6 linked regions of the Macaca fascicularis genome follow. The protein of the gene in region 1 interacts with the protein of each later gene in a biochemical or structural test. Links are inferred from orthologs where the notes say so. Each region holds a gene or a part of one and is shown on either strand. Other genes may lie near its edges.

Evidence for each region.
Region 2: of the proteins of NEDD4L (region 1) and NDFIP2, one has a biochemical effect on the other in vitro, tested with the Homo sapiens proteins (2 studies listed by BioGRID, with this or other methods). The link is inferred for Macaca fascicularis from reciprocal best matches to the Homo sapiens genes NEDD4L and NDFIP2.
Region 3: of the proteins of NEDD4L (region 1) and SNCA, one has a biochemical effect on the other in vitro, tested with the Homo sapiens proteins (3 studies listed by BioGRID). The link is inferred for Macaca fascicularis from reciprocal best matches to the Homo sapiens genes NEDD4L and SNCA.
Region 4: the proteins of NEDD4L (region 1) and UBE2E3 form a complex in vitro, tested with the Homo sapiens proteins (3 studies listed by BioGRID). The link is inferred for Macaca fascicularis from reciprocal best matches to the Homo sapiens genes NEDD4L and UBE2E3.
Region 5: the proteins of NEDD4L (region 1) and UBE2K form a complex in vitro, tested with the Homo sapiens proteins (2 studies listed by BioGRID). The link is inferred for Macaca fascicularis from reciprocal best matches to the Homo sapiens genes NEDD4L and UBE2K.
Region 6: of the proteins of NEDD4L (region 1) and SGK1, one has a biochemical effect on the other in vitro, tested with the Homo sapiens proteins (5 studies listed by BioGRID). The link is inferred for Macaca fascicularis from reciprocal best matches to the Homo sapiens genes NEDD4L and SGK1.

What each region holds. Positions count from the first base shown.
Region 1 is NC_088392.1:22,631,293-22,634,792, forward strand, and holds part of NEDD4L (E3 ubiquitin-protein ligase NEDD4-like), read right to left. Parts: intron 2,680-3,500; coding exon 2,548-2,679; intron 2,030-2,547; coding exon 1,910-2,029; intron 804-1,909; coding exon 606-803; intron 1-605. UniProt on the Homo sapiens protein: E3 ubiquitin-protein ligase that mediates the polyubiquitination of lysine and cysteine residues on target proteins and is thereby implicated in the regulation of various signaling pathways including autophagy, innate immunity or DNA repair.
Region 2 is NC_088391.1:70,542,602-70,546,746, reverse strand, and holds the start of NDFIP2 (NEDD4 family-interacting protein 2), read right to left. Parts: upstream 2,801-4,145; 5' UTR 2,720-2,800; coding exon 2,399-2,719; intron 1-2,398. UniProt on the Homo sapiens protein: Activates HECT domain-containing E3 ubiquitin-protein ligases, including ITCH, NEDD4, NEDD4L, SMURF2, WWP1 and WWP2, and consequently modulates the stability of their targets. As a result, may control many cellular processes.
Region 3 is NC_088379.1:95,268,981-95,273,117, reverse strand, and holds the end of SNCA (alpha-synuclein), read left to right. Parts: intron 1-375; coding exon 376-459; intron 460-3,026; exon of another isoform or gene 3,027-3,028; coding exon 3,029-3,061; 3' UTR 3,062-3,637; downstream 3,638-4,137. UniProt on the Homo sapiens protein: Neuronal protein that plays several roles in synaptic activity such as regulation of synaptic vesicle trafficking and subsequent neurotransmitter release.
Region 4 is NC_088386.1:76,567,738-76,570,869, forward strand, and holds the end of UBE2E3 (ubiquitin-conjugating enzyme E2 E3), read left to right. Parts: intron 1-191; coding exon 192-339; intron 340-1,997; coding exon 1,998-2,095; 3' UTR 2,096-2,632; downstream 2,633-3,132. UniProt on the Homo sapiens protein: Accepts ubiquitin from the E1 complex and catalyzes its covalent attachment to other proteins. In vitro catalyzes 'Lys-11'- and 'Lys-48'-, as well as 'Lys-63'-linked polyubiquitination.
Region 5 is NC_088379.1:38,999,305-39,003,423, reverse strand, and holds the start of UBE2K (ubiquitin-conjugating enzyme E2 K), read right to left. Parts: upstream 2,801-4,119; 5' UTR 2,786-2,800; coding exon 2,712-2,785; intron 1-2,711. UniProt on the Homo sapiens protein: Accepts ubiquitin from the E1 complex and catalyzes its covalent attachment to other proteins. In vitro, in the presence or in the absence of BRCA1-BARD1 E3 ubiquitin-protein ligase complex, catalyzes the synthesis of 'Lys-48'-linked polyubiquitin chains.
Region 6 is NC_088378.1:38,175,195-38,178,694, reverse strand, and holds part of SGK1 (serine/threonine-protein kinase Sgk1), read left to right. Parts: intron 1-250; exon of another isoform or gene 251-310; coding exon of another isoform or gene 311-428; intron 429-1,134; exon of another isoform or gene 1,135-1,188; coding exon of another isoform or gene 1,189-1,264; intron 1,265-1,409; coding exon 1,410-1,485; intron 1,486-1,921; coding exon 1,922-1,997; intron 1,998-2,449; coding exon 2,450-2,554; intron 2,555-2,660; coding exon 2,661-2,744; intron 2,745-2,863; coding exon 2,864-2,995; intron 2,996-3,246; coding exon 3,247-3,359; intron 3,360-3,500. UniProt on the Homo sapiens protein: Serine/threonine-protein kinase which is involved in the regulation of a wide variety of ion channels, membrane transporters, cellular enzymes, transcription factors, neuronal excitability, cell growth, proliferation, survival, migration and apoptosis.

The sequences.
Region 1 (3,500 bases):
CAGTTGCATGGTAAGAAAAATCAATTTTGACAAAATGATCACAAAAAGGAGTATCAGATTTACAACCAAAGTCACTCCATACATCCCCTATCCCATGATTAAGGGCACGGAAATGTAGCTCAGACGTGTGAATACTGATCTGATGTGAACAGTAAAAACTAAAGTGACAAATCAAAAGAAGGTGGGTAATGCCAATAAAAGTGCAAAAAGAAACTGACAAAAGAAAAAATTATTTGAAAATGATTATAACTCCTCTTTGAAAATGATTATAACTCCTTATTTTGTAAGATGGGATCAATTAACAAAATCTTAACAGCACAGAACAGTACCTTTCCATCCAGCATGGTGAACTGTCTAAACTAGAGTTTCCCAGGAGAAAAGGCAGTCCCAGCACTAGTACCAAAGACAGCTATCAGCCTGTGCCCACCCACTCCCACCCACCCATTTGTGCAAGGGCCAGATGCAGGCTGAGGAGACCCTCTGGAAACACCCTTTACAGTCAATCTAATTCCTCTGCAAGAACTACAAACACTGAGTAAGGAAATCAAGGAATTAATGCCAGACTTCACGATGAAAACGGAGCCAAATAAAAGCAGCAGCCTTACCCAGGTTGTGGTCTTTGTGTTATGATCAATGAAGAAGGGCCGGCCGTTTGGCGCTATCCTCATTTCCCAGCCGGGTGGCAAGAAGCTCTGTGTGACTTTGTGTTGTGGTTTGGGGGAGTTGTAAGGTGATGGCTGTGGGGACTGTGGGTTGGAAAGGGTGTCTTTCACAGCCCGACGTACGGGTGAGTCCTTGGCACCCTAAAGAATAACAATTAGCATTAGAACTCTTCAGCAGCTGCGATTCCAATGTGCCAAAATGTACCTGGGTATTGTAGGAGGCTTCTCTTTGGAGGCGGGCAAGAGGGAAGATTCCCAAAACCTGTTTTCTGTCATTCATTTACTTTTAAATCAATCTAACTTTACATTTCCTCTGTTGGATAAACACACAACAATATTAAGTACTTATAATCACCATCCTTTGGTAGCTACTCAGTATGTACCAAAAATACTGTTCTGTACTAAGCATTATGGATGGAGATTTTACAGAGTAGAGAAAAACGTGCCCTTGCTCTTAATGAGCTCACAGTCTAATGAAGAATAGATTGGCAAGTTTTAGAGCACAGAAGAGAAAAACCTACATCAATAAAGACAATGATCTGGAATCTCACAGTTGTTGCCCATGACATTCATATCAGTGTGTGGAAGAGACAGCATCCATTCCCACTTATTGGCATCTGGACCCAGGGCATGGAGAAGCCTACAGTTGTCTCTAAGACACAGTCAAGCTTAGGACCTCAAACCTTTGCTCTTTGGCTTCTCTAACTCTGACATTTGTGATGTTAAAGGATGGCACCAAAACAATACAAACACGACAGAGAGCACAAGCAGATGCCCAGCCACGATGCAGATATGCAAATATGCATCAGAAACATGTATGCCCATAGAATGAAAGACCCTACAGTCGAAAGAAAAAAAATGATCAAAGCAATAGCTATGTTTAAAAACTCAATATCAGCACTTGGTATTTGAAAGACAGATTATGCAATTCTAATGAGGTAACAGGCAAAAAGAAGCGAAACACAACAAGAACGGTGGAAGTCCTGAAAAGAGAGTGCCCACGTCCAGCACAAGTCACTGCGGCCTTAGCCAAATGAGAATGAGAATCAGGTGAGAGAGTCCAGGAATGTTAACTGGGCGAGACAGAGAAGCAGGTAGAAAGGCTGCACAAGAACCTCCTTCACCACCAACACAACGACTGATCAGAGAGAGGAGGTGGCTGCCAAACTGAAGGCAGAGTTAAGAGAGAAGAAAGAATGGGAGTCACAGGACAGAGTGAGTCCAGTTAGATGAGGTAGCCGTCTCACCTCCAGCGGGGCAGATAAAGTTACTGTTGGCGAGCTGAGGCTACGAGGCCGGCGGATCTGAGGCTCGATTAGATGGTTGTTACTGTTTGTGGCTGATCCAGACGCACCATCTTCTGCAAGCTATTTTGGAGGCAAAAACAAGTTAGCTTCATAGGAGGATCTCCCTGTGTGTGTGATTAGGAGCGCGAACCCAAACAACAACGCAAACAGCAATAATAAGAGGTCTGGCCTATTTAAAGCGTGGAGGAAATAATTAAACATAATGATGGGGGAAAGGATGGGGAAACACATTCAAGGGAAATAAAAATGAATCACTAGCCCAGCATAAAAACTAGCCTCAGATTAAAGGCAGGGGGTGGGGGGTGGGGCAGGGAAGAAGCTACACACTGTAATAGGCTCTTACTTTGAAAATATCTTTCACTTCACATTTTAAAAATGTATTCAGTGATAAACTGATTTGGAAAGCAAATTCTTCCTTAGGCTATTATTGTATTTAAAGTAATGCATTTTCTTTGTGAGAAAGCTTTTTACAAATATGACTCTTTCAGAACAATATATAAACACCAGGGAGGGAGGTCGGTCATGTACATTTCGGCTTCTATGGCCTGCGGTTTTAAGTTGGATGGCGATCTTCGTACCTGCATGATAGGTCGAGTCCAAGTTGTGGTTCGATTGTTATGATTGACATAGTATGTGCGCCCCTTAGCATCTTTTCTTTCTTCCCAGCCTGAAGGCAGACCCGGCGTGGTATGTACATAGGCCACTGATGGCTGTTTGTGCAAGAAATCATTATTATTTAATACCTTGCATTTGATTTCTGATCAGTTTAATAAAATAATGTACACCCAGATAATTATTTTCTCTAGACAAAGTTAATTAGTTCTATTTACATAGAAAATACTTCCAAGTGTCTGGAAAACAGCAATAGATTTCCAATAGCTTCAAATCTACTGTGGAATGAACCCCACACAGTTGCAGATCCAAATTCTTACAGAACTTGGTTCTAACACCCCCGTAGTCTTAAATGTAAAGGGTTGCTGCTAAGGTGATCATAGGGGAAGGGAAAAACATTATCATCTGTTCTGGCTACTAAATTCCACTGCCAAACCGGGTAGAGCTTAAAGGTATTTCAAACTGCCCAGTGTCACTGTGTATGAGAGGGATGCTCTGAGTTTCTCCTCGATGTAGCTCCCATGGGGTGCTCTTCTAGCTTAGTCCTAAATTTCTCCATCAGCTTAGGACCCTTACACTGTACCTTTTGGGGCAAAATTTTAAAATCCCAACACACAGCCCCTTCTCTAGGATGCTGACGGTCACACAGTAGCATATAATCTGGAGTACCACCCAGGACATCTGTGTGCCCCAGCTCAGGAAGTCTCCCAGCACCCAGCCTCACACCCGAGGCTGTGTGCACCCAAGTCCGCTGATAGAAGTGTGTTTCTTTGAAGGCGAACACAGCTTGGCAGTCTTTGGATTTAGAGACCTGTCCAACATAGAGTGACTGTATTTAGACAGTCCACATTTGATCACTAGAAGATCCCTGAGAAACAGTCTAAGAAATGCAGTGTGGATGGAGAAACGCTGAAAAACA
Region 2 (4,145 bases), on another chromosome or scaffold:
GTCAACTTTATCATAGTTAGCAACACTGCTCATTTACTAACGAACAAAACTGAATTTCCCAGAAAATTATGTACCATACCTGGCTTTTTCTGAAATTAGAAGGGTAACAATCAAGAATTTTTGTAGCTCTAAACTGTTAACTGCTTTACTTAATAAATTTTGGGTGCTTTTAACAATGAAAGGAAAGATCACAGAAAAAGCAGTTTCTAGATAAAGCTTGTGCACTGGCTAATGGTAGTAGGTCGTTCTGATGACCCTGAGCATCACTACTAGCTTTCCAGTATGAAAAGTTGTATTTAAATTCTTTAAATAAGTGAAAAATTAACATTGTATACCATCTCACCCCTAAGTATACTTGCCTATCTCCTGACTTAGTCATCCCTTAACATTCGACAACTCAAGCTGTTTATTGCTCCAGTTTATTACACATTCCAGTTTTCCCAAAAACTGAGCTAAAGGCAACCACAAAATAGTTATGTTCATCATATAAGCCAGAGCTGAATACTGATCTCTAGTTTAAAAAGTCTACGGAAAATGTCAATTCAGCTTTTTCTCTGACATACACTTAGATGTTATTAATCAGGCCATTATAAACAAAACCAAGAGTTATACTGGATAGGTTAAATGACTATGTAAGTTGTGTAACCCTAACACTGTTGCCTTACAAGGAAAACAAATCGATGTCCTACTTACTTAAAGTATTATCTTTAGAGGGACTGGTAGGCATTATCTTTAGAAGAACTGATTTTTGCCCTCTGCTCTCAAGGAACTTCAAAGTCTATGTGGGACACATCATCAGTTTGAAAAAAATGAGGGGAGGGGGCAGCAATAAAATATGTCCATTTATTTTGAAAGGAGCTGTAGGGAAAACAAATATCTTAAAACTGAGAGCTACATAAATTAACAGTGTTTTAAGTAGTGACGTGTGTAGGAGAACATGGTTAATGTTTCTAATCTAACAGGAAGATTAGAAAAATGAAACAAGTTCCACTGCTGATATTATTCAGTATTTGTATCATTTTATTTTTGCTAACATTTACAAACCTAGAAATGCCCTTCAAACCATCAAAAGGGTGTACACTTGAAAAATGCTTTCCATACTAGGAGAAACAGTATTTCCCAAGTTGTTGAGAAAAGCTGCTACATTTTCAAAGAATTCGGAACACGGACCTTTTGTAGGTTTTAAAGAATGCAAACCAGTTGAAAATAGAAGCCTCGTGAGCTTTTATCTTAGAAAAATGCAAAATTACATACATTGGGATCTCATCTTACAGTGTCCTTCATATTGCCAAAATGTACTTATTAATAGAAAGTCTTGGCTTATAACTAAGTCTGACATGTGCAGATAGATTTGAAAGTTGAAACCTGGGGTTAACATACCTAAATTTGTAAAATTTTATAAACCATAAATTGCACCACCACTGCTATGTATTATTTATCTCGTCTCCCTCAGTAAATGGGCTGAAAGTTTGTAGAATGACATGCTACCTAGCTGCAACAGCACAACAGCACAGTCAACTATTGCTCAGTCCATTTTTAACTAAGGTTTACAACAGGAATCTTCAACGTCACCACCAGAATACACAAAGAAAAATATATTTAAAAATTGACACTGAAAATACAGAGGAACATATTTCACTTTTTTCAACATACAGTTACCAAAGTTTACACAGTTAAGCTGGAAAACCTTGTATTTAACGAAAAATAATTTTTCGAACAAGATTAGAATTTGTTCTACTAAAACTACCTCTGTTTCCCCTCTAGCCAAACAAACAAAAAAAAAAAACAAAAAACTGGGGATTACAAAAAATACAGTCATTTTTAATACTAACATAATGGAAAAGGACAAAAATGACAAGGTTAACGAGCAGACAAGATCAGCACTATGGCTAGTCTTTCTCTTCGGTTCCACAATTCCTAACCCACATTTTTGCCAAATCCCACTCTACACAGTACTTACACCTTCACCCACCTACCCACCCACCCACCCCATTTATGACGGCGATCACCTTCCGGGCAGGTATGTGAAGTCAGCCCCACTTCCAGTAGACAATCGACTAGAATGTCTCAGAAGTGACTGAGTCAGAGAATAAGAAAATGATAAAGTGAGAAATTAAAACAGATACAAGTTGTAAGGTGTGCGGAGGGAGGTGTCTCAAAGGGGGCTAAGGGTACGGGTGAGGAGCTAGGAGGAGACTTGGGGCGACAGGGAAGGGTTTCGAAGCAGTCCTAGGCAGGAGTGCGCAGGAGAGGCGAGTGAAGCAGCTCCAGTCAGAAGATCCAAAAGAAAACAAAACAAAAGCCACAGCGTTTCCTCTGGGAATAACCTGAGGAAAGGGACTCTCGGGACGCCCCGGCGGGAGGCAGTCCCGGGAAGCACAGGAGGCCGGGAACTCACCACCTGGTAGCGCCCCGTCCCCGGCTGGTGGTGATCCATCCTGCCCGGCTCGGGATCCGGCTTCCGAGCGGGGGAGTTCTCTCCGTGCTCAGCTCCCTCGGCCACCCCCGTCGACGACGTCGTCGCCGCAGGGCCCCTTCCGCCTCCGTTCCTGCCGCCGCGGTCTCCCGGCGGAAGCTCTTCACTTCCTGTGCCTCCCGCAGCGGCCGCCGAGACCTCCGCGTTGGTCGCGGTTCCGCGGAGGAGCACCGGGGCGCCGCGCGCACTATTGAGCATGCTCGGGCCGCTCGCGCAGACTCGCTGGCTCCGCCGGCGTCCCATCCGCGCCGCCAGTGGGAGGGTGTAGCTAGGTGGGAGGAGATGGAAAAGTAAGGCAAGTCCGGGGGAGCTGTCTAGGTTGTCAACCTGTCGAGTGGGCGGTCGCAGAAGGCGCGCGGGGGGCGGGAATGACCCGTCCTTGATTGGTCTTTTCTATGTGCGCGAGTCTCGCGCAGGCACGAGCCAGTGCGCCTTCTCACCACACAGAGACAGAGGCTGACAAAGGTATGGGGCCGCGTTCCTGGAACACCTGAGGACAGGTCTCCCGGGTACCCGACACTTCCTCGTATTACTCACCCAGCGTAGGACGTGGGGAGGAGATTCATCTCTAGAACATTGCTAAAACGCTTATTCAAAAATCATTCGTAAGATAAGGGATTTTTAAAAGACTAATATAGAGTAGTTGTAGTTTACAGCAAAATTGAGAAGTTACAGAGATATCCCGTATACACTTTGCTCCTACGCATGCATAACCCCACCCCCAACCCCGCCATTATCAACATCCCCCACTAGAGTGGTACATGTGTTACAATTGATGAACCCGAATTGACACATCATCATCACTGAAAGTCTATAGTTACCTTGGGGTTCGCTCAGGTTGTTGTATACTCCTCGAGTTACGACAAATGTGTAATGGCAGGTATTCATCATTGTAGTATCCTACAGAGTTATCCACTGCCCTGAAATTCTTCTGTGGGATGATTAGAGACGGGGTCTCACTATATTGCCCAGACGAGTGCAGTGGCTGTTCTCAGGCACAATCATGGCTCACTGCAGCCTCGAACTCCTCAGCCCAAGCTATCCACCTGCCTCAGCCTCTGGAGTAGCTGAGACTACAGGCACCAGCTCTTTGGTTACTTTTTAAATTTTTTTCCACTTTTTGGTAATAAGAGATTTAAAAATCCAACAGACTCTCCAGACAGCTCTCAAAGGAAGAGGTCTCTAGAGTTCTAGGTTACTGGAAGGACGTTAGAAGAAAGTAATGAAATCAGATAGGATTATTTTGTGGTAATAATAATTCCAATGGATTTAACAGCAAGGAATCACTTGGGAGCATTGTTAATAGCATCTCAGTGTCTGTAACCACACATGACACGGCATAAAACATATTTCTCTAGCAAGTAGAAGAGTATGACAGAGCAGTGAAAAGTGCCTTTTAACCTGAAGACCAACGTTCTATACCCTCAAAACTATGGTGCTGCTTGATGTGGCCCAGCTATGTTTTTAAGATAACACCACATTTTCCCAAAATGATCTTACAGTGGAGCCCCCTGAAGGGAAGGAAAGGGATCTGGAGCCCCATTTACTTTATTTCCTTCATGAATGTCCAGAGGACATCCTTGAAATGAAGACTGCCACTGGGTGAGCCTAATCAACTGGTTAAAATAGCAAGATACAAAAAAACCCAAAAACTCTTTGCGAGATTGAC
Region 3 (4,137 bases), on another chromosome or scaffold:
AGCACCCAGCAATAATTTTTAACTCTTCATTATTCATTGAACATTTAGTTAACAATTGTAAAAATGTTGTTTCCTGCTGTCATTGATCTTGTGAAGAATATTTTTGGACTATAGCTGTGGATTATTTCCTAAATAGTGAATTACTTGAGCAAAAACTTTACATACTTTGAGGGCTGGTAACCCATGTTGCCGCAATGTTTCCCCAAAGGCATTGCAGAGTTTAGAATGCCAGTACTTATATTAAAGTGTGCCGTTTTCAACATCCCTGGCCAACATCCCTATATGTAAGATTTTTCCAAAACATGGTTCTGATTTTTAAAAGTGAAAAATGCTACTTCATCATGTTCTTTTTGTGCTTCTCACTTTAAATATTAGAATGAAGAAGGAGCCCCACAGGAAGGAATTCTACAAGATATGCCTGTGGATCCTGACAATGAGGCTTATGAAATGCCTTCTGAGGTAGGAGTCCAAGCTGAATCTTTCTAACAGTACCAACAACCTGTCATTGTCATATTTCTCTTGCTTAGTGAGAATCATTTGCTCTCTACATGCTCATTACGTGGACAACTTTCAAGCTAGGAATGGTTTTTACATTTTTAAAGGGTCCAAAAAAAAAGAGGAGGAGGAGGAAGAGAGGATGTAACACAAATTCTAAGTCCACATAGCTTAAAATACTACTTGACCCTTTACAGGAAAAGTTTACTAACTCCTGCATTAGAGAATATATTTTTAGAAACTATACATTCTAAAATAAGTTTCTAAATGGAAAGTTAGGGAAATCAACGGAATGCCAAAGGAAGGTAATTATTTTTTGCCATACATTTCCAGTGGGATGATTGCATAGTAAAATAAAAGTTACCCACACAAGTTATAGAATGAAAAGATAAATGTATGATTTGCAACAATTGATATATTCCAGTATAACATTTTAAACAACGTATGATTGTTAATTTTATTTTTATTGAAAACAAAAGTATTTTAATAGAAAATGTATCAAAAGGGAAATTAGAAAATACTGTTAGATGAAAAAAACTGACCCAAGAAGAAATAGTAAATCTGAATAGATTTGTATAGATTTGTAACACAGTGAAGTGATTAAATGATTAAATTAGTAAAAAAAAAAAAAAAAAAAAAAAAAAAAAAAAAAAACAAAAAAAACACCTGCATGCAAAGAAAATCCCAGGCCGAGACAGCATCACTGGTAAGTTCTACCAAACATTTAAGGAAGAACTAATACTAATTAGTTAACACCAATTAATATCTCTTACACAACATAGGAGTCATTTAGACATTTCCCAACTAATTCCGTGAGACCAATATTACCCTGATAATCAAAACCAAACAAAGATATCACAAGAAAAGAAACTGTATGATGGTTCCATTAAAAATTGAGTTCAAATATGTTGTGGTTAGGTTATGTATTATTCCTCATGGCATTATTAAAAGGCATATCAAGGATGGGTGCAGCGGCTCACACCTGTAATCCCAGCACTTTGTGAGCCAAAGTGGCCAGGTTACTTGAGGCCAGGAGTTCAAGACCAGTCTGGCCAACATGGTGAAACCCCATCTCTACTAAAAATACAAAAATTAGCCAGGCATGGTGGAACATGCTTATAGTTCCAGCTACTTGGGAGGCTGAGGCACAAGAGTTGCTTGAACCCAGGAGGCAGAGGTTGCAGTGAGCTGAGATGGCACCCCTGAACTCCAATCTAGGCAACAGGGCAAGACTGTCACTCACACACACACACACACACACACACACACACACAGCATATTAATAATAATTCAATTTATAGAAATTGAGATTAAATTGTTTGCCTAATAAGAATTTCCAATATTTTGGGGTCTTTTATGCAAGACACAGTACCAAACACTATAGAAAACTATAGTGTAATTGACATTACCAGGATATAAGGAGTTTACAGTCTGGTAGGTTTGATGAAAAAAATAGAAATTCATTCATTCATTTCTTCATTATGATTCCTTCCTTTAACAAACATTATTGATTGCCTTCTATGTACCAGGCATCACAGGAGCAAAGATATACAAGATATACTAAAAAGTATAACATTTTAAAGGATCTGTTTCAATCAATCAGGAGTAGTTTTATTGAGGAGGTAATGTTGATCTGGGTGGGAAAAGGAAAGAGATATGGTAGGGCAAAACAAACAGAGGACGTTCTGGCACAAGGGAATATCAGAAGCAAAGGCATATGTGTCTGAGAATGCAAATGGATATGTCTGAGAACAGTAAATAATTATGACTCAAGCTTAGGAACAAGGAAAATGGTGATAGATTGAACCTGCAGCTATGGGTCAAAGACAAATTATAGAGTATTAGGACAATCTTGTCATTTAAGTTTGTGTTCTATTCAGAAAACAACTTCAGTTATTGAAGATATGCTTATTTGTTTGTTTTTAAGCAGAATCCTGATATTATTAAAGTTGCTCTTTAGGAGGAATAATCTGACCCCTTTAATTACATCATTAATATTTGTATTGTGGATGCTTTCCAGATATTGTATGGAGAGCTTGGGGTCTGAAATACAACTAATAATTGAAGCCATAGATGAAGATGAAATTTTCAAGTGGGAGAGCGAAAGTAGGGAAAATGTACCTCGCCTTCAAACGTCTTAATTTCCTTCTGAGAATTAGAGCGTCTTAGCCCTGGAAAAGGCTTTATAGACCGCTTGATTTTATTCTCACATTTTACAGGTGAAGAAACTGAGAATCAGCCAGTCCAACTTATTTGTCCTACCTGACTAGGTATATGATCATTAAATGGTACATCTGGATTAGAACCTAGATATTTTAACTGATTACTACCACAATTCACATCTATATCGGACAGGAAATACACAACTATTAAAAATAAGATAATGTATATTGCAGAATATTTGCAAAAACATTGAGTGTAAATTTTAATGTAAGTGATGAGCCATTTCCTATCTCATTGGCTGTCAGTGCTGATGCATGATTGAAACTTACACTAACAGTGCGTGCTGTCTTTTTTATTTTTCTAATATTAGGAAGGGTATCAAGACTACGAACCTGAAGCCTAAGAAATATCTTTGCTCCCAGTTTCTTGAGATCTGCTGACAGACGTTCCATCTTGTACAAGTGCTCAGTTCCAATGTGCCCAGTCATGACATTTCTCAAAGTTTTTACAGTGTATTTTGAAGTCTTCCATCAGCAGTGATTGAAGTATCTGTACCTGCCCCCATTCAGCATTTCGGTGCTTCCCTTTCACTGAAGTGAATACATGGTAGCAGGGTCTTTGTGTGCTGTGGATTTTGTGGCTTCAATCTATGATGTTAAAACAATTTAAAAACACCTAAGTGACTACCACTTATTTCTAAATCCTCACTATTTTTTTGTTGCTGTTGTTCAGAAGTTGTTAGTGATTTGCTATCGTATATTATAAGATTTTTAGGTGTCTTTTAATGATACTGTCTAAGAATAATGATGTATTGTGAAATTTGTTAATATATATAATACTTAAAAATATGTGAGCATGAAACTATGCACCTATAAATACTAACTATGAAATTTTACCGTTTTGTGATGTGTTTTATTAACTTGTGTTTGTATATAAATGGTGAGAATTAAAATAAAATGTCGTCTCATTGCAAACAAAATTTTATTTTTATCCCATCTCACTTTAATAATAAAAATCTTGCTTATAAGCAACATGCATTGAGAACTGACACAATGGACATAAAGTTATTAATAGGCATTTGAAGAAGGAGGAATTTTAGAAGAGGTAGAGAAAATGAACATTAACCCTACACTGGGAATTCCCTGAAGCAGCACTGCCAGAGGTGTGTTTTGTGGTGCCTTAAGTGGCTGTGATTAAAAAAAAAAAAAGTGGGCTCCAGGGAACGAAGCAGTGTAAAAGATGATTTTGACTACATCCTCCTTAGAGATCCATGAGACACTTTAGCACATATTAGCACATTCAAGGCTCTGAGACAATGTGGTTAACTTAGTTTAACTCAGCAGTCCCCACTAAAAAAAAAAAAAATCATCAAAAATTCTCTCTCTCTATTCCTTTTTCTCTCGCTCCCCTTTTTTCCAGGAAATGCCTTTAAACACCTTTGGGAACTATCAGGATCACCTTAAAGAAGATCAGTTCTCC
Region 4 (3,132 bases), on another chromosome or scaffold:
CTATACAGGGTAAAAATAAAGATTTCAACTGAGTCAAAACCATTTAATTCTGTTATTAAACCTAATCTAAGGTTAGCTCCAGTCAGATAATTTAGTATCTTCTATGATATATTACCCTTCATCTTTTTCTAGTGTTTTAGTTGGTAATATAGCATTCATTTTCCTTCTGTTTTTAATGTGACTGTGCTTAGGTTACTTTCCGCACCAGAATTTATCACTGCAACATCAACAGTCAGGGAGTCATCTGTCTGGACATCCTTAAAGACAACTGGAGTCCCGCTTTGACTATTTCAAAAGTTTTGCTGTCTATTTGTTCCCTTTTGACGGACTGCAACCCTGGTAAGCAAATCTTTATTAACACAAAAACCAGTGCGTTTTTTTTTTTTTTTTTTTTAGTTAGCTTTAAATGTAGATTGAGAGGTAAATGTTATTGATAGGAAGATCTCCGTAAAATAGTTTGTAAGGAAATTACCAGTGCCATTTGAAGTAGACTAGGCCAGAAGTTTCTCAATACCTTCATTTAATTTGTTAATGGCATACCACTCTATAATTATTTTGTCACCATCACTAATGGAATCTTTACTTTTAAAACTGTTTAGGTGCACAGACTACTTCTACCAAGAGTAAACCAATGTCTCTGAAACCAGTGCCTCCTTTTCCTGCTCCTTCCATTCTGCGATAGGCTTTTAAGCAGCTACTTTAATAATAGAGGGCTTCTTGTTCTCCCTTCCTTTTTGAATTAATTAGTTATATTAGGTGTAGTAGTAATGAATATTAAAATGATAGCCAATGAGAATTGAACTAGATTATGATTATATAAACTCAGAGATAAAATCATTTGTGTGTAATTCATAACTTTAAAAAATGCCTGCCACATGTGAACTTCAGAAACTTGAGTAGCTGACTTGATAAAATGATGTTTAGACCTGAAATTTCACACATTTTGTTTTGCTATGTGATTTTTTTTTTAAGTTGACTTACTTTTTCTAAATATTTGATAAGTCACTGAAAACTGTTACTGTTGTTACCTTGTGCTTGGCCGAGATACATATACAATAGATAGAGACAGATGGATATTCATTGTGGTATCATTTATTAGAGTATTGGAAACAACCTCAATGTCCATTAATTGATGTAACTTTTTAAAAGAATGTTTATATGACTCTATATGAACTCATAGGGAAATATCTTCGAGATATATTAAGTATAAAAGGCACTGGAAAAAATACATATATACAACATAATATTCTAAATGCTTGTCAGTGCATCTAAGAACTCTGGAAAGTAATGTTGTAAATGGGTAACAGTTGTTTGCCGGGGAAAGAAACTTCTGAGTAGTTGGAGTCAGGAAGGAAGAGAGTTTTTTTTACTGGCTATGGTTTGGTACAGTTCAAATATTGTACCATATGTACATATTTTTTTCTTTTTAAACATTATGATAAAAATTTATATCAGGTTCACTCTCTAGTTCAGAATTCTACTTAAAACAAAATGGCAAGTAAGGTTTCAAGTGGAAATATAGATAGTGATTAGAGTCATATCAGGCACAGAATGAAGGAAGCATTGTATTTGAAATAGCATGGTATCGTAAGACTGGGGTTTTACTTAAAACTTGCCATTTTTGAACTATTCATAAGCAGAAATATAACCTCCTAGTATACTTCCATTGTTGAATGAAAGGCCAAAATTATAAAATAGTTTTTTGTATATTAAAGACCTGTGTCTTTCATAAAAGTCAAATCTAACTATTTTTGTATATAGCTCAAAATTTGTTGTTGTTGTTGTTGTTGTTGTTGTTTTGCTGAAGGGGGCTTTCCTAACTTGAATATTAAAATACACATATGATCATGTTACTTTAAATTTTTTCTTTTGAAAATCTAGCTATTATATATGAAGATACTGCGGAAAAGTAAGCATTTCATTTTAATAGAATATTAGAACTATACCTTGAAGAAGATACCACAAAATAGCTTTTAATGTTCTTTCCACTTTTCCAGCGGATCCTCTGGTTGGAAGCATAGCCACTCAGTATTTGACCAACAGAGCAGAACACGACAGGATAGCCAGACAGTGGACCAAGAGATACGCAACATAATTCACATAATTTGTATGCAGTGTGAAGGAGCAGAAGGCATCTTCTCACTGTGCTGCAAATCTTTATAGCCTTTACAATACGGACTTCTGTGTATATGTTATACTGATTCTACTCTGCTTTTATCCTTTGGAGCCTGGGAGACTCCCCAAAAAGGTAAATGCTATCAAGAGTAGAACTTTGTAGCTGTAGATTAGTTATGTTTAAAACGCCTACTTGCAAGTCTTGCTTCTTTGGGATATCAAAATGTATTTTGTGATGTACTAAGGATACTGGTCCTGAAGTCTACCAAATATTATAGTGCATTTTAGCCTAATTCATTATCTGTATGAAGTTATAAAAGTAGCTGTAGATGACTAGGAATTATGTCATTTGTATTAAACCCAGATCTATTTCTGAGTATGTGGTTCATGCTGTTGTGAAAAATGTTTTACCTTTTACCTTTGTCAGTTTGTAATGAGAGGATTTCCTTTTACCCTTTGTAGCTCAGAGAGCACCTGATGTATCATCTCAAACACAATAAACATGCTCCTGAAGGCATAGTTTCCTGTCGTAATATTTTACGTCAGTCTTGTTAGAAGGTGTGTCTGAGATGATTGTTGATGAAATAAAAATGCGTCTATGAAGATTACTAAAGACTAGCACAAATAAACCAATTCTTAAATTGAAAACATTTAAAGTCCTATTAAATGTGTAGAGATTTTTTCCTTTGTTATTGAAAGAATGACCGTAAATAATCAAAAGTGGATTTTAACCCATTAGTCTCAAACACATAGAGCTGTATTTTGGTAATATGATGCTTAAGTCAAAATGCGTCTGGTAATATCTTATGGAACATGTTGTTCAGCATTGGGCAGTATTGTTAGATGGTAACTTTGATGTGGTAGCTAGTGTACTTTTTACTTCTAATCCTGGTCTTGAATTTTCGTGGTGTGTATTACCATTCTTACTATGGCAGGTGGCCAGCAAATACAGCCAGAGGCACAGTTGAACACAGAAATCTTTGTCTGCCTTGAAGGTAGACTAGAACTGTGTTAGTG
Region 5 (4,119 bases), on another chromosome or scaffold:
CACAACAGAATATGAAAACATAGCTACTTCTGACATCTAACAGCTATCTGTTTAATTATGTCCCAAGGTTATTCTAAGCACTGTAAAGACACTCTTAATCTTCCCACAGTTTTTACAGATAAAGATAATCGAGATACAGAGCCAGTACTTCAGGTTTTAAGAAGAAAAGCCAGGACTCAAAGCAAATCTAATTATAAAGCCCATGCTCTTAATTACTAAGCTAACTTCACTAAATTATGCTTCAGGAGTTAAAAATCTCTACCTCCTTGGCAAGTTTAAGTTCTCATACTAAGAGGGGGAAAAGAAAAGACACATTTAAATAATACTGCATTGTTATCTCCTTCTGTAAAGTTGTATTAGCAGTCAGCTTTTACACTATCGTTTATGAAAAGGATATTCCCACAAACCAACTACTTATTATGACTAAACTGGTATGCAAAAAGCCTGGGTTCAACCATTAACCAGCTGTTTCTCTGAGGAACAATCAACCTCCTTGGGCCTCAGTTTCCTGATTTTATAGATGAGGAGTTTGGCCTAGATCTATTTCAGCACTGAAATTCAATACATTTTAGTACATTTTCTAAGACACTATATTTTTCTTAACAGATTTTGAACAGCATCTTTTGAAAACTTTCCAACTTAAAATACGTAACATATACTCACATCTGTTCTTTTACTCAAACATACTCAAAACTAATCTGTTATTAGAAGTCAGGAAAGTAACTAGAAAGGAAGGAGGATTCCTATGGTACTGGGAAGGGTCTGTTTCTTGATTTGGATGCCAGTCACACTTTATTATGTACACGTTTTACTTTAATATGAAAAAGGGTGGTTTTCCTCCCCAAAAGGTAACTATGAAGAAAGTTAAGAACATGATCTAACTCTACAACTATGTTTGAGTATATAAGAGCTGTGCAACCTTTCTGTTCTACATATGTAAATGTGTTTCTTGAATAAGTGCATCAATAATCTCTTTGTTCCATAGTTCCAATTCATGTGCCTAGAGAAAAGTTTATTTACTTAAGAATTTCAGCCAGGCGTGGTGGCTCACACCTGCAATCCCAACACTTTGGGAGGCCAACGCTGGCAGATCATCTGAGTTCGGGAGTTCAAGAACAGCCTGATCGACCACCATGGAGAAACTCGGTCTCTACTAAAAATACAAAATTAGCTGAGCTTGGTGGTGCATGCCTGTAATCCCAGCTACTCAGGAGGCTGAGGCAGGAGAATCGCTTGAACCCAGGAGACAGAGGTTGCAATGAGCCGAGATTGCGCCATTGCACTCCAGCCTGGGCAACAAGAGCAAAACTCTGTCTCGGGGGGGAAAAAAAAAAGAATCGCAATATTACCACAATTCCTTTGGGACTGTCTCCTGAAATTTGAGGTCAGTCTTAACTTTCCTCAGCTCAAGAAGGCTGGGTGAGGTGGCTCATGCCTATAATCCCAGAACGTTGGGAAGCTGAGGCAGAAGGACTGTGTGAAGCCAGGAGTTCAAGACCAGCCTGGGCAACATAGTGAGACCCCATCTCTACAAAAAGTAAAAACTAGCTGGGTGTGGCAGCACGTACCTGTAGACCCAGCTACTTGGGAGGCTGAGGTGGAAGGCTTGCTAGAACCCAGGAGGTCAAGGCTGCAGTGAGCTATGACTGTGCTCCTGGGCGAATGAGGGAGACCCCGTCTCAACAACAACAACAACAACAAAAAGCACCTAGCTCAAGAACCCCCCTCATACAGTCATACAGCCCGGGCACGATGGCTCACGCCTGTAATCCCAGCACTTTCAGAAGCCAAGGCAGGCGGATCACCTGAGGTCAGGAGTTCGAGACCAGCCTGGCTAGAAACCCCATCTCTACTAAAAATAGGAAAATTAGCTGGGTGTGGTGGCACGTGCCTATAATCCCAGCTACTGGGTCAAGCAGTAGAACTACCTGACCTGGGAAGCAGAAGCTGCAGTGAGCCAAAATCACGCCACCGCACTCCAGCCTGGGTGAGAGTGAGTTTCCATCTCAAACAAAACAAAACAAAAAAACTCCAGGTCGGGTGGCTCATGCGTGTAAGCCCAGCACTTTGGGAGGCCAAGACAGCCAGATCACTTGAGGTCAGGAGTGTGAGACCAGCCTGGCCACATGGTGAAATCCAGTCTCTACTAAAAATACAAAAAATTAGCCAGGTGTGGTGGCGCATGCCTGTGATTCCAGCCATTCCGGAGGCTGAGGCCTGAGAATCACTTGAAGCCAGGAGGTGGAGGTTGCAGTGAGCCAAGATCAAGCCACTGTACTCCAGGCTGGGCGACAGAGACTCTGACTCAAAACAAAACAAAAACAAAAAAGAACCTCCCTCATTCAAATACCCTCAGAATCCCATAGCATTTACTCTTTGCCCCTCCCATTTTTATCTATCCTTTGTCTGTCCTGTATCTCCAACCAGTAAGCCTTTTGGGGCTGTGGTCAACATGTTCAGTAACTATCAATAATGTATTCACTGGGAAATAAGAGTACATAGTCTTGGCTGGGCATGGTGGCTCACACTTGTAATCTCATCACTTTGGAAGAGCGAGGCAGGTGGATCACTTGAGGTCAGGAGTTTGAGACCAGCCTGGCCGACATCATAAAACCCTGTCTCTACTAACAATATAAAAAATTAGTTGGGCATGGTGGGGTGCGCCTGTAGTCCCAGCTACTTGGGAGGCTGAGGCAGGAGAACCACTTAACCTGGGAGGCGGAGGCTGCAGAGAGCTTGGATCATGCAACTGGACTCCAGCCAGGGTGACAGAGCGAGATTCCATCTGAAAAAAAAAAAAAAAAAAAAAAAAAAAAGTCCAGGCATGCCAGGCATGGTGGCTCACCATGTAAGCCCAGCACTTTGGGAGGCCGAGGCAGGCAGATCATCTGAGGTCAGGAGTTTGAGACCAGCCTGGCCAATATAGTGAAACCCTGCCTCTATTAAAACTACAAAAATTAGCAGGGTGTAGTGCCCGGGCGCGGTGGCTCACACCTGTAATCTCAGCACTTTGGGAGGCCAAAGCAGGCTGATCACGAGGTCAGGAGACCGAGACCATCCTGGCCAACATGGTGAAACCCCATCTCTACTAAAAAAATACAACAAATTAGCCGGGCCTGGTGGCGGGTGCCTGTAGTCCCAGCTACTCGGGAGGCTGAGGCAGGAGAATGGCGTGAACCCGGAAGGCGGAGCCTGCAGTGAGCTGAGATTGCGCACCACTGCACTCCAGCCTGAGCAACAGAGCGAGACTCTGTCTCAAAAAAAAAAAAAAAAAAAAAAAAAAAATTAGCTGGGCAGGGTGGCGCATGCCTGTAATCCCGGGATTCCAGCCATTCCGGAGGCTGAGGCATTGGTTGAACCTGGGAGGCGAAGGTTGCAGTGAGCAAGATCAAGCCACTGCACTCCAGGCTGGGTGACAGAGCCGAGACTCCTTCTCAAAAACAAAACAACAACAAAAAGGAATCTCACTCATACAGATACCCTTAGAATCCCATAGCATTTACTCTTTGCCCCTACCATTTTTATCTATCCTTTGTCTGCCCTGTATCTCCAACCAGTTAAGCTTTTTGGGGCTACAGTCAGTATTTTCAAAAACTGTCAATAATGTATTCACTGGGAAATAAGAGTATATAGTCTTGGCTGGGCAGTGGTGGCTCATGCCTGTAATCCCAGCACTTTGGGAGGCCGAGGCAGTTGGATCACTTGAGGTCAGGGGTTCAAGACCAGCCTGGCCAACATGGTAAAACCCTGTCTCTACTAACAATACAAAACATTAACTGGGCGTGGTAGGGTGCACCTGTAATACCAGCTACTCAGGAGGCTGAGGCACGAGGGTCACTTGAACCCGGGAGGCAGAGACCATGGTGAGCTGAGATTGTGCCACCATACTCCAGCCTGGACGACAGAGCGAGACTCTGTCTCAAAAAAAAAAAAAAAAAAAAAAAAAAAAAAAAGCCCAGGTGCAGTGGCTCACGCCTGTAATCCCAACACTTTGGGAGGCCAAGGCGGCAAAATCACAAGGTCAGGAGTTCGAGACCAGCCTGGCTAATATAGTGAAACCCGTCTCTACTAAAAATACAAAAAATACCAAAAAAAAAAAACAAAAAACCCTCAGGCATG
Region 6 (3,500 bases), on another chromosome or scaffold:
GAGACGACTTTTATTTCCGCCCCCTCCCCTCCACATTCCTGACCTCTCCCTCCCCCCCTTCCCTCTTTCTTTCCTTCCTTCCTCCTCTTCCAAGTTCTGGGATTTTTCAGCCTTGCTTGGTTTTGGCCAAAAGCACAAAAAAGGCGTTTTCGGAAGCGACCCGACCGTGCACAAGGGCCATTTGTTTGTTTTGGGACTCGGGGCAGGAAATCTTGCCCGGCCTGAGTCACGGCGGCTCCTTCAAGGAAACGTCAGTGCTCGCCGGTCGCTCTCGCCTGCCGTGCGCCCCGCCGCCCGCTGCCCGCTGCCCATGAGGGAGATGCAGGGCGCGCTGGCCAGGGCCCGGCTCGAGTCCCTGCTGCGGCCCCGCCACAAAAAGAGGGCCGAGGCGCAGAAAAGGAGCGAGTCCTTCCTGCTGAGCGGACTGGGTAAGCGCGGTCGCCGGCCCCGCTGGGGACTTGGCTCACTTCCCCAGAGCGGCTCGGCTCCTGCCCCGCTCGCGGGCTCGTCCGCAGGGGCAGGCTTTCGTCGGAGTTCTGGGAGCCGGGGTCCCGGCGGCGGGAACGGGAGGACCTGGCAGGCAAGGTCGCGCGCTTCGCCCTGCGCCCCAGAGATAAACCCCAGAGGGTGGCGCGCACCGCCGGCTTGGGCTGGGGAGGGAGGTGGGGGTCCGGCCGCAGGACGGCGCCAGGCCGGGGAAAGGGAATCTGCAGGGAGGGAGTGAGCGAAGCCACCGTGGCCGCCGCGCACCCGCCGGGAAGCGCCTCGGCGCTGCGACCCCGGCTTTCTCGGGCGGCGGAATAAATGAGAGGTGGAAAACTACCCTGGGCTCTCCGGCCCTCCCCGCGCCCTCCGCTGGCGCGTTCCCTCTCTTCTGCCTCGGGGGCCGATGGAGGCTGATAACGGCCCCGCGCCAGGCCCTCCCCGGACGGTCCTCGCGCCCCTGCCCGGGGCTCGCCCTCTCAATGGGGACAGAACCGCCCGCCACAGGCAGCACCGCTGCCAGCAAACCGCGAGGCGGTCCGGGCGGAGGGAGGGGCGAGGCGAAGGGCGGGGCCGCTTCTCATTGTCGCTCAGGCCCCGCCCCCGCGGCGGGGCCTCGCCTATAAGGCCGAGCGCGCGGCCCGGCGCGGCACACACCGAGCCGGTCTCCGAGCGCTAACGTCTTCCTGTCTCCCCGCGGTGGTGATGACGGTGAAAACCGAGGCAGCTAAGGGCACCCTCACTTACTCCAGGATGAGGGGCATGGTGGCAATTCTCATCGGTGAGTGCAGGAATCTGGCGGGACTTATGCTCCAGGAGACTCAAAGTGGAAATTTTTTGAAAGTCCGGCATCAGATTAGTGTATGTGGCTCCGGACGTTATGAAGCCGTCTAAACGTTTCTTTATTTCTCCTCCTTAATCCACAGCTTTCATGAAGCAAAGGAGGATGGGCCTGAACGACTTTATTCAGAAGATTGCCAATAACTCCTATGCATGCAAACAGTAAGTTTGACGGGATTTGAGGAAATAAGAATAACTAGTCTGGTTTGAATTTGCCAGCAGTAAACATTCTCATCACGGCGTTTATCGGGAAGGCGAAGACTTCTTCTGGGGTGGGAATCTCTTTTCTCCTTAAATTTTAATATATTAGACACATTTTAAACATTAAAGTTAATTTGCTGTTTTGGCTTGAACTGGAGATGTAAGATAAATGGTTCGTGTCGGCCGAATTCACTCCCTTTCTCCATGAGCAACAATCCTTATTTCTGTATTTAACGGGGTTTATTATTTTCTTTAACTGAGTAATATATTGGGGTATTTTCAGTTTAAACACCGAATTATCCGGGTAGAAGACGGTAGAGCCAGAAACTGACTTTTGATGTTGGTGTGCCCCCTAGTGGCGAGCTGGATTCTGAATCGTGCCCTTTATTCCCTGCAGCCCTGAAGTTCAGTCCATCTTGAAAATCTCCCAACCTCAGGAGCCTGAGCTTATGAATGCCAACCCTTCTCCTCCAGTAAGTATTTTCTATGTGCAGTGCCTCTGTGGAGAACTGTAAGGGAGTCAGTTAGTATTCCTGCCTTAATGGTTTAAAATAGCATTTCTAGAATTTAGTATCAAAGCAGGAATGCTTCATTACTTTATGGCATAACAAGTGATAACAAATATTTAAGTATTCAGTCAGTATTATTTTATTTTTTCGTGGGCGTATTTTACCTCCAAAGTGGATTATTTTAAAAGGCATATTTCATTAAAAAGTTTTATCTGTCCGAAACAACATGATTGTGTGCAGTTTCCATACTCATTTGAAATGACTTGTGATGAAATGTAGTTTTGAATGTTTATAGACAGATGTATGGTCATTTGCCTCAGTCATTTGTAGATGTAACATCTTCTACATCGTTTATATTATAACTGTCTTCCTTTGAAGCAATGATATTAAGAGAAATCCTTTTCTTTTTTTCCTAGCCAAGTCCTTCTCAGCAAATCAACCTTGGCCCATCGTCCAATCCTCATGCTAAACCATCTGACTTTCACTTCTTGAAAGTGATTGGGAAGGGCAGTTTTGGAAAGGTAATTTCGAATCTGAAGATCTTTTGGTACACTTTCTTCATGTCCTCATTTTACATTCTCCCTGGATAAGGATAGAAAAATGATTTTTTTTAAATTGAAATTTCAGGTTCTTCTAGCAAGACACAAGGCAGAAGAAGTATTCTATGCAGTCAAAGTTTTACAGAAGAAAGCAATCCTGAAAAAGAAAGAGGTATGAGATGTGCTTGATGAGGTTGGCATTGGAGGTAGACACTCCTTGAATAATCTTGATCTTGGAATTTTGGTGCCAAGTTGAAATATGCCACTAAATCTGAATTGTCATTTTCCTAGGAGAAGCATATTATGTCGGAGCGGAATGTTCTGCTGAAGAATGTGAAACACCCTTTCCTGGTGGGCCTTCACTTCTCTTTCCAGACTGCTGACAAATTGTACTTTGTCCTAGACTACATTAATGGTGGAGAGGTGAGCAGGGGGAATAGAAGACGTCAACTCTTAGTGTCTCTGCATAGCCTGCTTTGTTTTAGTTTGAGAAGAAAGTTTTCAAAGATACTTGGTGGGGAGAATGTTACCAGAATTAGCATTTCCTTCAACCTATCAGGTTTATAGTTAATAGATTACTTGGGGCTGCTTCCTGCAGTTGTTCTTTTGCTGTATATGTCAAAACTAATTAAGTTCATTTGCAACCCAGCCTGACTTTGTTCTGTCTCTCGCAGTTGTTCTACCATCTCCAGAGGGAACGCTGCTTCCTGGAACCACGGGCTCGTTTCTATGCTGCTGAAATAGCCAGTGCCTTGGGCTACCTGCACTCACTGAACATCGTTTATAGGTAAGCCTGAGAGCTCTTAAGGCTACCTGTTTGGGTATAAAGGAGACATAGCACTGGCTCTTTCACAGGGCCTTAAAATAATTTGTGTTTATGTGCAACTTGGTTGCCTAAAACCAGATCCCCTAGCACGTGACCTGGCTT